Linked DNA regions of Astyanax mexicanus. The protein of the gene in region 1 interacts with the protein of each later gene in a biochemical or structural test. Links are inferred from orthologs where the notes say so. Each region holds a gene or a part of one and is shown in the gene's direction. Other genes may lie near its edges. The genes, in order: patj and tjp3.

Region 1 (8,176 bases):
CGTGACGTTCCCAAAATGTGTCATTGTTTGCAATAATGATGTGTTAACTTATTACTGTGAATGGGGAAGGAAAAAAAAAAAAAAAGTCACAATTTTCCATTTTTCAATGGCATCCATTTGGATACACACAGAAAAACTGGTGAGTTTATGCCATTAGGGATCTGAAAGAATTGCAATTAATTAATCCTCCCACATCTAGTAATTTAAACATAATTACTGTTAATCGCCAGTAATAGTGCTGATAATTGGTCACTGAAGGGCTTAAGCGTGTTGATTCCAGCACTGATATCAAAAGAGCTGCCTGCGGAGAGCCTGTTCAGCCCTGCCAGGCAGGGTCTTTAGAGCTGAATGGCGCAGTAGCTTGAAGGTCAGTCCAGACCAGGTGCAGATCTCGGAGAGAACGCCTGCAGGACTGGCTCAGGCTCTGCATGGGCTTGCCTTTCACCTGCTCCGCTCAAACACTCAAAAAAAAACACACAAAAAAAAGAGCCCAAGAAGAAGGAAAAAGGAAAGCCTTCATCCGCCAGAGTCTTTTGTATGTCTGCAGGTGCTTAATTGATAAGAATGGCCTTAAAACATGGAGAGAAGGAGAAAAGGAGCTCCTCACGCCACATCCTGCTTCACTCTGGAGTTTATGTATAAAGAACTAGCTCCTCCAGGTGAGATAATGTTAGCAGTGTTTATTTTCTCACATGCCAGTTCCCCTCGGCTCTATTCAGTTTTTGGAGATTTGAAGAGAAGAAACACAGACTTCAGGAAATTAGCGAACTCTCACTTGTACAGTTTGTTAACAGATAAAAAGAAAAGAAGAGTTAAGCATGAAAATTATCAGAGGCTGTTTACAGACTTTAAAAAGTCCAGCCCAAAGTCTGAACTAATGGATAATGTGTTTTTTAATACTGTAAAGATTTTGGTCCGGTTAGTTTTGGTTTCACAATGCAGTTTACTAGTAATTGGTATTACTATTAAATCAATAAAAATCAATTTGACAAGTTGCCTTTCCAGATGTTGTGCCAAATCTAACTCTCTTTGAGTGTATGCAAGCTAGCAGAATGAGCACTACAGACCACTCACAAATATACTTTATTTCTGTTTATACATAAAGGTTTAAACTACAGCTATTGTAGATACAGGAATCACCATCAGTGTAATGCTGTCCCTACATATACAGTATAATAATAAAGATGCCATTGGATAGAGCCGAACATGAGGGTTGAGCTGGCCTTGCCCATAAGTAAAAGGTACTTTTTTTATAGTTGCGTATATGGATGACTGATATCATATGGTTGAAAGACTGGAGCAAAAAATAAATAAATAAATAAATAAATAAATAAAAATTATATATATATATATATATATATATATATATATATATATATATATATATATATATATATATATATATATATATATATGGCAAATAAAATCTGCCTCTGGAAGAGAAATCATGGACAATATGCCCACAATGCTTTGATAAGCTAAAAGAAAATATTGTGCATGTCGGTAACATTCTATTCTACAATTTGTTACACTTGATAATTAACAGTTTACTACCAACACATTTAGGAGGACTTACCGAGAGCTGGATAACCCAAATAGAAGCGGTCTGCACCGAGCCATCCCAGGAACAGTGACAAAGCCACAGCTACTTTGTAAGAATAAACACTCCTAGTCAAACAAAAAACAAAACAAAACATTATCACAAAATATTAACCCCAATGAAATCAAATTCTTTTAGATTAGTATTTACTATAGACATTTAGAGGGAAGAAACTCACACATTACGACATGGAACACTTTTATTAAATCCAACCTCATCGCCACTGAATTTGTACTTGGTCCCATTAGGCAGCAAACAGCTGATGTTTGGTGCAGGAAGACACTCCACTGAAAAAAATAACATAGCATATTAGCTACTAGGGCTGGGCATTATGGATCAAAACTAATATCTGATTTTTTTTTTTAATCCCATAAGGTAATAACAAAAAGACACTTCCAAGACAAAGCTACATGCTCCAGATTTTACACAGGCAGTTTTATTATCCTGTGTCATATCCTGTATATTAGAACGTATTAGTGCTTAAAGGGAATTTAAATTACACTAATTATAAACAAGATTCTTCAAATAAAATGTTTGTTTCTTTTTTCATTTAAAGTACCTTAAAAACAACATCAAAGTGTGATTTTGGTAAAAGAGTCTTAAAGTGCTTAAATAAGTCATTTAAAAAGTGCAATTTGAGTTTTCTTTAAATCTGGGCAGAAACAGTGACAGGTCTATTCCTATACCTGTGTGTAGGAGCTGATTGGTCAGTTCAGGTTAGAGTGGGCATGACAGCTCTGAAGATAAGTGTTTAGTTTTTGTAGTGACGCAGGTTTTGAACTGCCTGTGTTTCTCTGAAATGTCGAGTTCTGTTGTCACTATGTGTTTTATATAAAATGCTCTGAATGGGCTCCTGTGTGCACCACATTTTATTTAGGAAGCGCGGGATTGGTCTGTAATTTTCCTGCACCCTGAAGCCTCCACTGAACGGTTCTGCTGCTTAAAATAAATTTGGGGCAATGTCTGGGTGCGGGAGAACTGACAGAGCTAACTGGAATGCAGTATAGACTTTATTAATACAAACCATACTGTTTGATCTCGTATGAACATATATTTTTATAAATCTATTTTGCCCAGCTCTATTATGGACAGATTTGACAACTGGCACACTGCTCTATACTCTTAAGTCAACAACAAAAAAAGCATAGTGACAGATGCATTTTTAATGATCATCAGTTATCATATGAGCTCACCCCATGCTATTAGATCCTTGCAGTTCTCTGGTTCTTGAGTTGCATCATTTATTATAGGACTTTTGCAGATATACCTGAATATTGTCAAGGAGAAACACAGACTGGTCCTGTTACAGACAATACTTTCAGCACTAGAGCATACAGTTTTAAGGTTTGCTGTTTTATCACATCTTTTTTGATTATACTATATTGCACTCTAAAGGATCTTGAAGTTTAGTTTAAATGTTCAAAAAGTTGTTTATTAATAAATATCAATTAAAATGGATATACAAAAAATAATATATCTTTCTAGCTCTCTGTATATTTATCAATTAGCTATGCTGATGAGCACTTCTCTTTTCTCTTCTTTATCGTACTGATATTTTCTTAATTATTAAAAAACTTCATATAAATATCAGGCAAAGATAACCTGAGTAAAAATAAAAAACACTTTTTAAATGATAATTTCATTTATTAAGAGGGAAAAAAAAGTTTGTGTTTGCCCCATATTCTGAAACAGGTCTGGGCTCTTATGTTTTGATATTATTTTTACTACTACTATAATGATTATTATTATTATTACTACTACTATAAAAAAATATTACTTCAAACAATAGACTGCATGCTTACAATTAGAATTGTGTATAGGGCTGTAACAATAAATATTTTATCAACTTATTATGCAATAAATTGACATAACTTCTATAATGTTTTACTCACTTTGACATTATATGAAGACCCATTAGAATGAACAAGCAGGGATGTAATTTTTTTTTTTTAATAATATGTTTTTTATTTTATTTAGATATTTAGGACATTCTATATTACAATTCCAGTGTATGGATATTTTTTTGTTTAAAATGTTCTCTTAAACAATGTGTACAATAACGTGTATTATGATATAATATGTCTTCAGAATGGGGGGCAGATCGTGCAGCAATTTAATATTATGATTCATTCTTAATTCCACTTTAAAGGGGAGCTAAAATTAGCTTTTATTTATATATATATATATATATATATATATATATATATATATATATATATATATATATATATATATATATATATATATCTATATATATATTCCATTCTATCTTAAATGCTGCAGCCGCTGAATCTGTTGCACTACAATCTATGACTAGGCTTTACCCTTGATTGAGAATATACACCTGAATGGAGGCATACAAATAGAACTAAATTCTTACCCAATAAACCCTCCCAAAGTGTTTGCACATAAGGATGCAGACATATAAGTTATGTTATATTTAAATTGCTAACTAACTTCTAGATTTAGCTACTGGTTTGTTTGTTCATGCTACCTTTGTTTGACAGCACAGAACGCATTAGCCTGGCTAGGTCAGCTAACGCTAGCTAGCTAACATTTTAATTAACAAATTTGCATTAACAATTTTTTTTGCCAGTATAGAACCCATTGGCTGGGTTAAGTCAGTACAGCTAGCTACATAACCTAACAGAGAAAACACACATTCTAACTTAACTTAGCTAACATTTAATTTAACAAATTAGCATTAAGAATTTTTTTTTTAGCAGCACATAACCCATCAATTTTCTAGGTTAGGTCAGCTAACGGTAGCTACATAACAGAGATAACACACATTTAAACCTAGCTTTAACATTTTATTTTACAAATAACTAAATTCCAGAACTGATTTGGCAGCACAGAACCTACTAGCAGGGTTAAATTAGCTAAGGCTAGCTGGCTACAAAACAGAGAAAACAAACTTTGCAAGGTTAATATTTTATCTATCAAATAAAGTACATTTCAGGCTTTGTTTAATAGCAAATACCCAAATACACGCTAGGTCAGCAAAACAGAACCCTACCTACGTTATTATTGTGTTGACAACTAACCTAGCTAGGTTATATCCATCTAGCTAGGCTAGGCTAAGCTAAGCTAAGCTAAACCGGATAGCTAGCCTGTTTCTGCAGCGGAGAAAACACACAAATCCTCCACTCAAACAGCGGAAAAAAGGATACTGTCCGGGGCGGAGATGTTCACAGCTATCCACCTGCTCAGTAACGCTGTGAATTAAAGTCCAGCAGGAGGAGAAAAGCACAAACACGAGCTGTTTCCACCAGCAACAAAACAGCCCGCTGCTGGGTGAAGCCATGTTGGAGGCGGCGGTGGTCACGTGACCCGGAGAGATTTTTTTTTAAAGAGACAAAAAAAAATCAGCGAAAGGAAAATGCAGTTGTTTAACCCTCTAAAGTTCTAGTATTTTTATTTGCACTTTAAATGGTTTATTTAGACAGAGCAGTCGCCTTATTTAGTTAAAAATGAATAAAAACTAAAGAAACAAACCTTTACGCTGATGAAGTTGAGTGTGAGGGGAGTAGTTAACGCCAGCTAAACTTCACCACCCGTTTAGCACAGCTAGTGGAGCTAGCCAGCCTGCCAAACTTACTAAATAACATGTTAAACAGCAGTTTAAAGCCTTGACGCGAGAAACAAACTCCAGGTTAGTGGGTTAATATAGTTAATATACATTTTCAGCTTGGTTGCTGTGTGATAAACTGGTTATTTCTGCGTTTACCGGCGTGTAAAACGTGTTAGAGACTAATGCACCTGTTGTACTGTTGTGTGTTGTGTACATTAGCTAAGCTAGCTATTTGTGGAGAAAGCGTTTAACCGTTAGCTGTTTTGTATTAATCCAACATTATTGACCAAATGCACTACTTATTAAGTAACGTTAACGCTTCGCCCCGATCATGTAGGTCTTGTTTATTGTGTTTAATGTAGTTAAACAGTCTTTTTCTGGGTATGTGAGCTTCTCTCTGTTACTTAACTCTACCTGCTTCCTGTTTTCAGGTGAGGCAGCGCAGCTCCTCTCACTTCCGTCAGACAGGTGAGCTCGGGCGGATGAAAACAAGTGAAATCTCAGCTGAAAGAAGCTCAGCGTTTTAACTACAATACTGTTTTGGACTTTATTTACAGGAACCTCCAGCTTGTTTTAAAGCTATAACTGAAGAACTTCGGCGCTTAAAACCTCGGTAAGTAGTCAGAGTTCGTCTTGTTTTACTTAGTTTAAACACAGCTGCTGTGGCTAATGTGTTATTTAACCGCTAACTAACTTAGCTAACCTGGGTTAGCTCACCGAAACTGAGCTGTCTGTTATGATATAGGAAGTCTCCTAGGTGTTAAGAATCGACATTTCTTCCTGAATAACTGTTTTCTCTCATTGTTACTAACCTTTATTGGTGTTAGTGTAGTGTTGAGGTGAGTCAATGAGATATATATTCTTGAATATATTCATATTAATCTCAAAATTAGCCGAATAACTATTTTATCAGCCAAACATCTGACTACAGAGATGACCAGCATGTTTTAACCAGTTGTTTGGGTGGTTTAGCTAATTAGCTAGGTTAGCTAATATTATTTTTTGGACCTTTGTATCAACGTGTTTAACCCATAATTTCTAAATATTGATACCATGCGTAAAATCTAATCCGATCAATCTAATCAGATATATTCAGTGAGCAGCTTATTAATGTTTTTTTGTTATTATTGTGGGCACATACCGAGCCCCTAAGGTGACATCATATTAAAATAAAAATACTTTGTGGCCACAGCTTATTAAGGTGTGGGAATGAGATCCTGAATCTTGGCTATGACTTATTAAGGCGTGGAAATGAGATCGTGAGGCACGGACACAACTTATTAAGGCGTGGGAATGAGATTCTGAGGCATGGACACAACTTATTAACGCATGGGAACGAGATTCTAATGTGTGTGATTATTATTAAGATTATTAAGGCGTTGACACAACTTATTAGGCATGGTAATGAGCTCCTAATGCATGATCACAACTTATTAAGGCATGGAAATTAGATATTAAGGAGGGGGTACGAGATCCTAGGGTGTGACCGCAACCTATTAAGGTGGGGGAATGAGATCTTAGTGCGTGGGAACAAAGTAATTAGGGTGTTGCCAGGACTTATTAAGGTATGGGAATGAGATCCTAAGGCATGGCCATGACTGATTAAGGAATAGGAATGAGATTCTAAGGAGTGGTCACGACTTATTAGGGCGTAGAAATGAGATATGTTCGAATTGTGTTAAAAGGAAATAATTAAGGCGTGACCACAACTTGTTAAGGCCTGGAAATGAGTTCATTAAGATGTGGCCATAACCTCTTAAGGTGTGGGAAACAGATAATTAAAGCATATATAATAAATTAATTAAATCAAGGCCATTAAGGCGTGGCCACAAGGTCCTTTTGTTTCACAGCTAACAAAGCAAGCAGCTCTCCGGGGTTGTGTACAATATGACTCTCTAAGGAAGGTAAATGGATCTGCATAAATCTTGATTTGTGTTTATCTTTGTCACTCATCTCCTGTTACCTGTTGCAGTGTTGTGGTACACAGGAATTCTGATTTACCCCGCAATATCTGTTTGCTGTTTTTAATATTGTGGTAGATCTACCAAACAAACCTTTGACTTTAAACATGTTTAAAAATTCATATATAGGTACAGCCGGATGAAGAAAGGGTTGTTAATGTTGTTTTTCTGTGTTTGTCCTGACAGATTTATTTACATCCCTCTACATTAGGCTCTCCGGGGAGGAGCAATGTATGAAAATGTGCCAACAGGTAAAAGGATTATGCCACATTTTAGTGATACCTAATTAACAGTATAATAAATGCAAACATAGTTTGAGCACACTTGGCTAAACCGATTGTTGATAATTCTTAAACAAATGTATGTTTTTTTTATTTGCCTTTCTTACTAGCATATGAGCAGAACTTGAAGATGTCACCTTAATAGTCTGCACTTTAGAACGTTCAAGCTTAAAACAATTGTCTTTTGTTTGTTTTTTAGAGCATGTATAAAATCATAAAACCTGTTCCAAATTTTGCACAGGCTATATTGATATCTTAAATGTATTGTTTTGTTGATTTATTATGAAAGGCAGACTAGCTGTATATATTTCTCTGATCAATTTTAATATCAATTTTATGTTAAAACAAAAGATTGCAAAAGATTTCCTTAATGCTGTTTAAATTTTACAGTAGTAAAGTCATTATTTCATAATTGTACTTAAATCATAACTCTGTGTCTTTTTATCTCTGTGTCTGTGTGTGTTCAGTATCTGCAACCGAGCGGCAGCAGGTGCTTCAGGCCTTGGAGAGGCTGCAGTCGAAGCTGGTGCAGCGTGAGGAATGGACTCATAGTGAGCGTCTGGGAGCGCTGAAGGAAGCACTGCAGAGCCCGCTTCTCGGCCATATATTAACCCTGCAGCACTCTGTCAAACAGCTCCGAGACCAGGTCAGGCTTGGCTCAGCATAACAACTCCACACTGGAGGGGAGGGGTGTACAATACACTGATGCTTTTTAGTTACTGAGATAAAATACAACAAATTATGAGTACTTGTGAGCACT
Region 2 (7,568 bases), about 890 kb from region 1:
ACACAAAGAGCTTGTATCTGTAGAGAAGAACTGCTAATAGAATTGCACTCTCTGGAGCAACAAAATAAACATAAAGCTATTAAACACCATTAAGTTTAATGCCAGGTGTGGACTAGAGAGACATAAACCCCTGGCCTCGGAATGAGCTGTGCGGCAGTGGAACTGTATTCTCTGGAACAAAACTTTTTGGTATGATTGGTTACTCTCCTACCTGGTTAATCCCCCTGTTTATCTGGTAAAGTAGTGTTGGTAAAATAAAGCAGAAGTAGTTTTGCTGTTGTGCTGTGGATGTGTTTGTAGCTTTTATGAGGCAGAAGACTCATAGAAGTTCATCTTTTGCTGCACAGATTGCATTGGCGGTGACACTGATGTGTTTAAAAACTCCAGCAACATTGCTGTGTGTGATTCACTCATACTATCACAACACACACTAACGCACCACTGCCATGCCAGTGTCCATGCATTGCAGAGGACTTCCTTTCGGGTTCTGACCATTGAAGAACAGGGGGAAAAGGGAATAATAAAGTATGCAGAGAAACAGAAGGACTACAGGCTGTAATTATAGAACAACCAAGTGCTTCTATAAGCTTAGTGGAGCTAAAAAAAAATGGAAAAATGGGTGTTAAAAACAAAGAGGTAGTCATAATGTTATGCTTGATCGATTTACACGAGGAATGTAGAGATCAGTGAATTGTATCCATCCTGCTGGATACATTTGCTTGACACATGGCTGAGCGTGAGTAACAGTAGATGGAGCTTGAGTAAACAGCCTGCCTGTGCCCAGGGAGCAATCAGCAGTTCTGCAGGTGAAGGTGTTTACAGTTACTGGTGAGCAGACACACCTTAACACACAGCAGTGTGTCCGGCAGCGTGTTCGGCATTGTGTTTATCGTCGCTCTACAGCATGTGAATCTAATACCAACTCAAGGTACATTTCCAGCAACTACCAAAAGCTCAGTTACTGATTTACCTGCTGGCCTGCTGCCAGGTTTCTTACACCTGCACTGGCTCACAGAAAACGAACAGTGCTTCATTAGTAACAGGATATATTTGATATTTAAATACAGTGACATGAAATGCTTTCCCAACAGCATTTAAAGCTCAGTCTGAACTGAGGGACTGCAGCCAAAAGTAAGTCATGTGAAAGACCAGCTTTCGTAGACGATCCCGTTTTTCCAGGATCTGATGGTATGCACGATTACAAACAGCCCGCTGCTTCCTGATCCTGAAACTTTAGTGCACAACATACCATAGCCCTTTTCTAGGCCAGCTACAAAATGCTGTGCTTTATCAATCATTAACCAAGTGGGGTAATGATTCCCTGTGTAACCAGGGCACCATGCATTTACAGTGAGGCCAGTTGTTGCTGGGGAGGTTGTAGAAATGCTGTGGTATTTTTGTAAAGCTTTTGTTGTCATTTCTAACACCATGCTCTCATGTTTATATACTGTTACAGTACCAGTCAAAAGATTCTCATTTAATGTTTTACTTCATTTCTTTATTTAATTTATTTTCAATATTGTCAATCAATATTAAAAACATCAAGCAATTAAGGGTATATTAAACAAAAAAAAGTGTTTGTTCTCCACAATCCTCTGATCTAAACCTTATTAACTGATATGGTGATTTGAGGTGATTTGGGATGAGCTGGAGCTTCACAGTCTGTAGGAAAAGCAGCAACTACAGTTCAGGTGACTCGACCTCATGAAGACACTAAGATTAAAATATCAAGAGTGTGCAGATCTGTCCTCAAATGCGAAAAGTGGTATAAAACATATTCTGATTTGTTGTACAAACCAGAATTACATCAGCCCTGTCTTTCTGTCCTGTCTCCCCCTCTTTTTTTGCTGTCTGGTACAGACAGGTTGATGGCTAATTTCACTGGTACTCGTGAGCATGTGACAATAAAGGCAAAAAAGTTGAACGTTAAATTCATTTATGGCCAATAGAAATTTAACAAAAATGAACATTTATTTTTTACCTTTAGCCAGTACAGCAGTCTGGCCCCGCCTACTTAGAACTGTTTATTCAGTATTTTGGACTAATAAACTTCATGTTATTTATTCAGCAGTTTTGTCCCTCTCCCTTAATGCTGTTTATTTGCCAGTTTTACTCCGCCCACTCTGTACTGTTTGTTTGTTAGTTTAACAGGTTGAATCTACCTCCACAAACTAGAGTGATTAGAGGTGTTTTAGCCTAGAGACATCTTTCTTTACAAGGCATGATGCAGCACAGTTAATGAGAGCCTAAATAGTGTTGTAAGCACTGTTTACAAAACACAGTGGTGGTCAACCAATGTACAATTATTCCCACAGTTCTTTTCAAATTTAGTGAAAGATCATTACAAAACAGCAAAACACTTATTTTAAAATAACAGAAACTGGTGGGAACATGACACACGGAAACATGCAGATGCTTCATGTCATATATGCTTTCAGTGAGATTTCTCAGTGCACCATAGCATTACACTCAGCATTTTGACATAGAATTAAACCTAAAACAAGAAACAGAATTTTTTTATGTTTTTGGTATTGTTAATAGAAACCTGGAGAGTGACGTATGATGCAGGATATTTTTTGTGAGACTGAGCAAGTATGAATATTTCTGTATTTAATTTCTGTAAAGTAACTATTGAAAGCTGAACCTACAGAAGCTGAAGTTTAATCACTCTATATTGGTTAATCTTTGGTACTCTTTGGTAGTTTATAGTACAGTTTATGGCATGTGAGCTGCAGAACTACAGCCTTTCATTTGGCTTACTAAGTGTTTTCAATATGGCTTTAGTTTGGGATTCATAGCTACAGACTTCTATTAGATATACACTAAACGCTATTGCAAAAGGTATTCACTTGCCCATTTAAATCATTGAATTCCAGTTTTGCGATCACTTATATGGCCATAGGTGTATACAAGCAAGCAGCCAGGCATGTAGTGTGCTTCTACAAACATTGGTGAAAGAAGCTCAGTGAATGCCAGCATGGCATTGTGATAGGATGACCCATGTGCAAAAGCGTGGGTTGACATCATATTAAACCCTTTAGATTAAACATGGGCTGACACTGACGTTCATATGCATGCAAACGTAACTGTAGGTAATATTATACAGAAAGATAAAAAATCATGCACCAAACATCTGGGATTAGATATAAGGCTTATTCCCTTCCTCTACTCCCAAGAGGATACTCTACTCTCCCACTCACTCACTATTAGACAACATTAATAATCTCCTGCAGCAAACAGCTCAGTTTCTGTGGCCGCGTATGATCTGATCCACAACCTTTAACCCAAAAGTAGACCAGTAGACTAGACATCTTACAGCTAGGTTGTAATTAGTATAAATTATTAATAATAACAATAGCAATAATAAAACTACTGACTTAAAGTTGCTGCTGAATCCATCTCTGGTTATTAGGTATGTCAGTATAATTACATTATTCACTTATCGTGACATTATTTCTATGATTAAAACTGCCCACTATCCTTTTGTTAGTAATGAGAGCCCATTAATGACACTTTTTAACATATTTTTATTTGTTTTATTTGTTTAGCATATTTAAACATGTTTTCTTTCAAGTTCCTTGTCTGGAAATCAATATTAATTAAAAGCTAATTCCTCTTTAAATCAGAGAAACTGCATGGTTTTATCGCTTACTTGCCTGGATGATCTTGTATCCCTTGCCCCATGGTCATAAAACATAAGAATGTAAAACGAAGATAATCTTGTTGATTAGAATTATTTCTAAGACAATGTACTGTCTAATAAAGCATAGTTATTCTAACAGGCCAAGTAATTGCATTATTATTTTCGGTAACTTTAAATACACATTTACCTCAGTAGTGCTACTTAAAGTGACATAAAACATGTTTTGAGTTTGTGGCAAAGAGAAGTACTGTATTTGTTCACGGTTTTAATTAACTGTATTTACATGCTGTGTCAAATGACTAGAACAAAGAGAAAAACACCCTGCTTTTCCTGTACTGTTCCTGTAATGCAGTGTTTACCGTGCACTTTTTTGTGGTTTTCCTTCTCGACCTGCGCACCTAATTTAGCTGCCATGTTTATAGGAAGGTGTAAAGTACGTTAGATCAGGGACATCACTAAACTCCTGCTGGACTGCAGCCCTCTGTTCCCACTCCAAGATTTACTGAGAGAGTGTTTGTTTGTTTGTTTGTTTGTTTGTTTGTTTGTTTGTTTGTTTGTTTGTTTGTTTGTTTGTTTTTGTATCCCAGCCGAACCGGTTGGCAGGATGTTGGTTTAACTCATCGTGCCTCCAGCTGGATCCCTCTTAAAATTCGAGCCTCCTAAGGTGGTTCTGCCTCACTGGAGCAGAAAACAATGCAGACTGAGAAGCTCCACCTTAAAGCCTCGACAAAGCTAGTAATAGAAGGTATCTCGTGGCTGGGAAGGCTTGTGGGTGGGGCTTTCCATTGACTCAGGTGCTTTGTGTGCAAGGTGTTTTTCACGGACTTGTTCTCTGATAGGGTTTGTGTTGTTTCCTGTGGGTTTCCTGTGGAAAGAATCCAGCTAATCTTTGCTTTTGCTGGTGGGAAAAATGTGGTTTCCCAGAGAGAGCCGTGGTGGTCGGCGGTGGAGGTGACCGTTAGCTGCCTGAGGGCGTAGTCGCAGAGGTCACAGGTGTTTCTCTAGGAGTGTAGCGTGGAGAGAGAGAGAGAGATAATGGAGGTGAGGTTCAGAGATCTGGTGAGTACACAGAACTAATCCACAAGTTTTATTTATTAATGTTATTATAGTATCTGTTTTGTTGCTGCGGTAGTTGTTGTTTGGGTATTATTTTAATACTAACTGGAAAGAAACACTGCGCCTTGTTGTACAATGTATATTCCCTAGAGTATTGGGACACCTGCTCATTTATTGTTCCTTCTGAAATCTGTAAATTAAAGGAAAATAATTAATAGTTTATCTAGTTTACCTATTTGTTTGTGTTACTGTCGCTACTGTACAGAGAAGGAAAATATTTCTACTAGATTTTGAAGCATTGCTGTAAGGATTTGATTGCATTCAGTGACAAAGAAAAGAGCTTAAGTGTGTTCAGGTTGTTGAAACATCACCACCCCACCTCTTTCCCAACTCATCCTAACAATTCTAAATAGAGCTTTAGGTGCCAGTAGGTGCCAGTAGGTCCAAGCCGAAAAAACATGCCAGGATGGCTGGGCAATAATTTGAAATTTAATTAATCAACACTCATTCAAAACCTATAACCAAAATACTTTTGCTCATTATTATTTTTTTTTTACATTTTAAATTACTACACTTATTCATGTAAATGGAAAAACATAGTCACGTGACTCAGCCCTGACCTGTCTGTGACAGCAACCCAAGGAGAAATCCAACACAGGCCGAGCAAACTGAGCATCTCGAGCAGCTTATACAATCATTTAGTAATTGTAATTAGAGTTAAATGTTCAAATAATCTCGATATTGATTAGAGGTCACATCGCCCAGCTCTAATTGGCAGTACTTTACTACAGGGATTGAACAAAATGTGTTTGCATTTGCACATTTGTGTCAGTAATTATGTTTAGCTTAATGCATTCTTTAAAAGTTAAAAAATATTTAGACATTCTTCTAGAATTGTTTCAGGATTTTTAATAAATGTAGCTTTTTGATGTCAACAAAGAAACAGCATTTTAGCTTTATTTAGAGATGCACAGAAATGAAAAAGAGTGAAACATTGAACAAAATGAAACATATTACCTAATACAGAACATAGAAATGCCCCACTTTTTAAATAAACTTTATAGCCTGAATGTATTTTGTTTTGTTTAAATAAATAAAAAATCTCAGCAGACAAAGTACAACATATTTACCTCAGCAGTGCTACTTTAGTCATGAATTCATTTTGAAGCATTGCTATTCTAGTCACACAATGAGCTGGATATGTATCTAAGCATTGCTATTCTAATCATAGTTTTAGTCATAAATGTACCTCAGCAGTGCTACTCAAGTTACTTGCAAGTGAAACTTATTCCCAAAAACAAACAGATGCAAATGTTTGCTGAGGTAACCCTGTGTAGCTTGTGCATTTCAGATAGAAAAAAACAGTTGTGAAAATAATTATTTTTTAATTGAATTTATGCAAGTAAAAATGAACTTAAACCTGCCGGATGGTGGAGGGGGAGGGGGTGTTAGTATTCTGCTGCTGTAATGTCCCAGATATGGCTAGGCTATGTTCTGATTGTGGCCACTATGGCCCCTAAAATAATATCACAGTATTTTACGTTTTTTTTTTTTATTATGTCAAAATGTTTTTTTAAGAATATACTACTGCAGCAATATAAACATTTTTAATAATACCACAATATCACGATATGGAGTTTTTTATTATGTTAGAATTTTTGCCGATAATATTGCTTACAATACGATATGGCACACCCCTTGTAATCACCATATTGAAAGACGCCATATTTTGTTTTTGAAATAGAAGGGTGTCCTACTTTTGGCCTTGTATATTATTTATATAGAAAAGTTTTGAGACAGAATTATCCAGATATGCATTTTCTTTGAATTGTTTAATAAATAATTATATTATTGCATATGATGCAATATGACACAGCCCTATTGTGAACCGTTATGTTCACAAAGCAGCTGGTTGCCTATTCAAACACGTGGCCAAACAGCAAGTCTGTATTCGTAGCATTAATCACATTAAAACAACAGACACATGCCCACATATATGATTTCATGGTCATGTGGTTTCTGTGTAGTTGTTACTCATCCTTAGACTACTCTACTGTTTTCCAGCCTAAGCTCTGTAGCACATGGTTAATCACCACAGCACTGAACTCTGTACATTTATAAAACAGGCCTTGACCCCGAACACACTTACACCAGAGGCTAGACTGTGAAACTAGTCGAGCATGATGTTTACCTTTTAAAGAGATTAATAGTTAAACTGTAACCTGGTGTTAAATTCCAGCTTGGCGACTGCAGTTTGTTCCCCAGCTTTGGATTGGCTTTGTGTGAGTTTAAAACACACATGATATTTACTCAAAGCTTTGATTTATGTTTTCACTATGCGTTTGACTACCAGCCATATAAAACCACCTGCTTAATATTGTGTACGTTCCCATGGAGCCACTAAAACTTGCATCACATTTGTGAGGTGTTATAAGGTGGGGTCTCAAAAACATCAGTGAGCCTTTGGGTGCCTGTGACCCTGTCCCTATTGGCTACATTCACTTTACAAGGCACTTTGCTCAAATCCAATTTTTTGCTCAGATCAGATCTTGATGGTTCACTTTCACAAATGTAAGTGAGCTGTATCTGTGTGTAATGTGAAAGAATCTGTCCCAGAAACGCCTCAAATGCGCACATTGATACGTGTGTAAACGTCGTCGTCTTCACCAACAACGAAGCTTTATAAAGATTACATTAATATGTTAGCAGCTCATATGTGGAGCATCTTAAGCTCGAGTGGGGAACAAACAGCTGGTCTGATGTTCATGCTCAGATCGAGGAGGAGAAAAAAGGCCAGGGGGTTTGCTTTTGCTGTTTTTGCAGCTATAGCTGAACAGCTGCACCAAGAGTGTGGGTAGCATGTAGCACA

Evidence for each region.
Region 2: the proteins of patj (region 1) and tjp3 form a complex in vitro, tested with the Homo sapiens proteins (2 studies listed by BioGRID and IntAct, with this or other methods). The link is inferred for Astyanax mexicanus from reciprocal best matches to the Homo sapiens genes PATJ and TJP3.

What each region holds. Positions count from the first base shown.
Region 1 is NC_064423.1:15,520,933-15,529,108, forward strand, and holds the start of patj (inaD-like protein), read left to right. Parts: upstream 1-4,984; 5' UTR 4,985-5,255; intron 5,256-5,605; 5' UTR 5,606-5,642; intron 5,643-5,731; 5' UTR 5,732-5,787; intron 5,788-7,321; 5' UTR 7,322-7,364; coding exon 7,365-7,386; intron 7,387-7,883; coding exon 7,884-8,062; intron 8,063-8,176.
Region 2 is NC_064423.1:14,629,737-14,637,304, forward strand, and holds the start of tjp3 (tight junction protein ZO-3), read left to right. Parts: upstream 1-4,459; 5' UTR 4,460-4,678; coding exon 4,679-4,702; intron 4,703-7,568. UniProt on the Homo sapiens protein: TJP1, TJP2, and TJP3 are closely related scaffolding proteins that link tight junction (TJ) transmembrane proteins such as claudins, junctional adhesion molecules, and occludin to the actin cytoskeleton.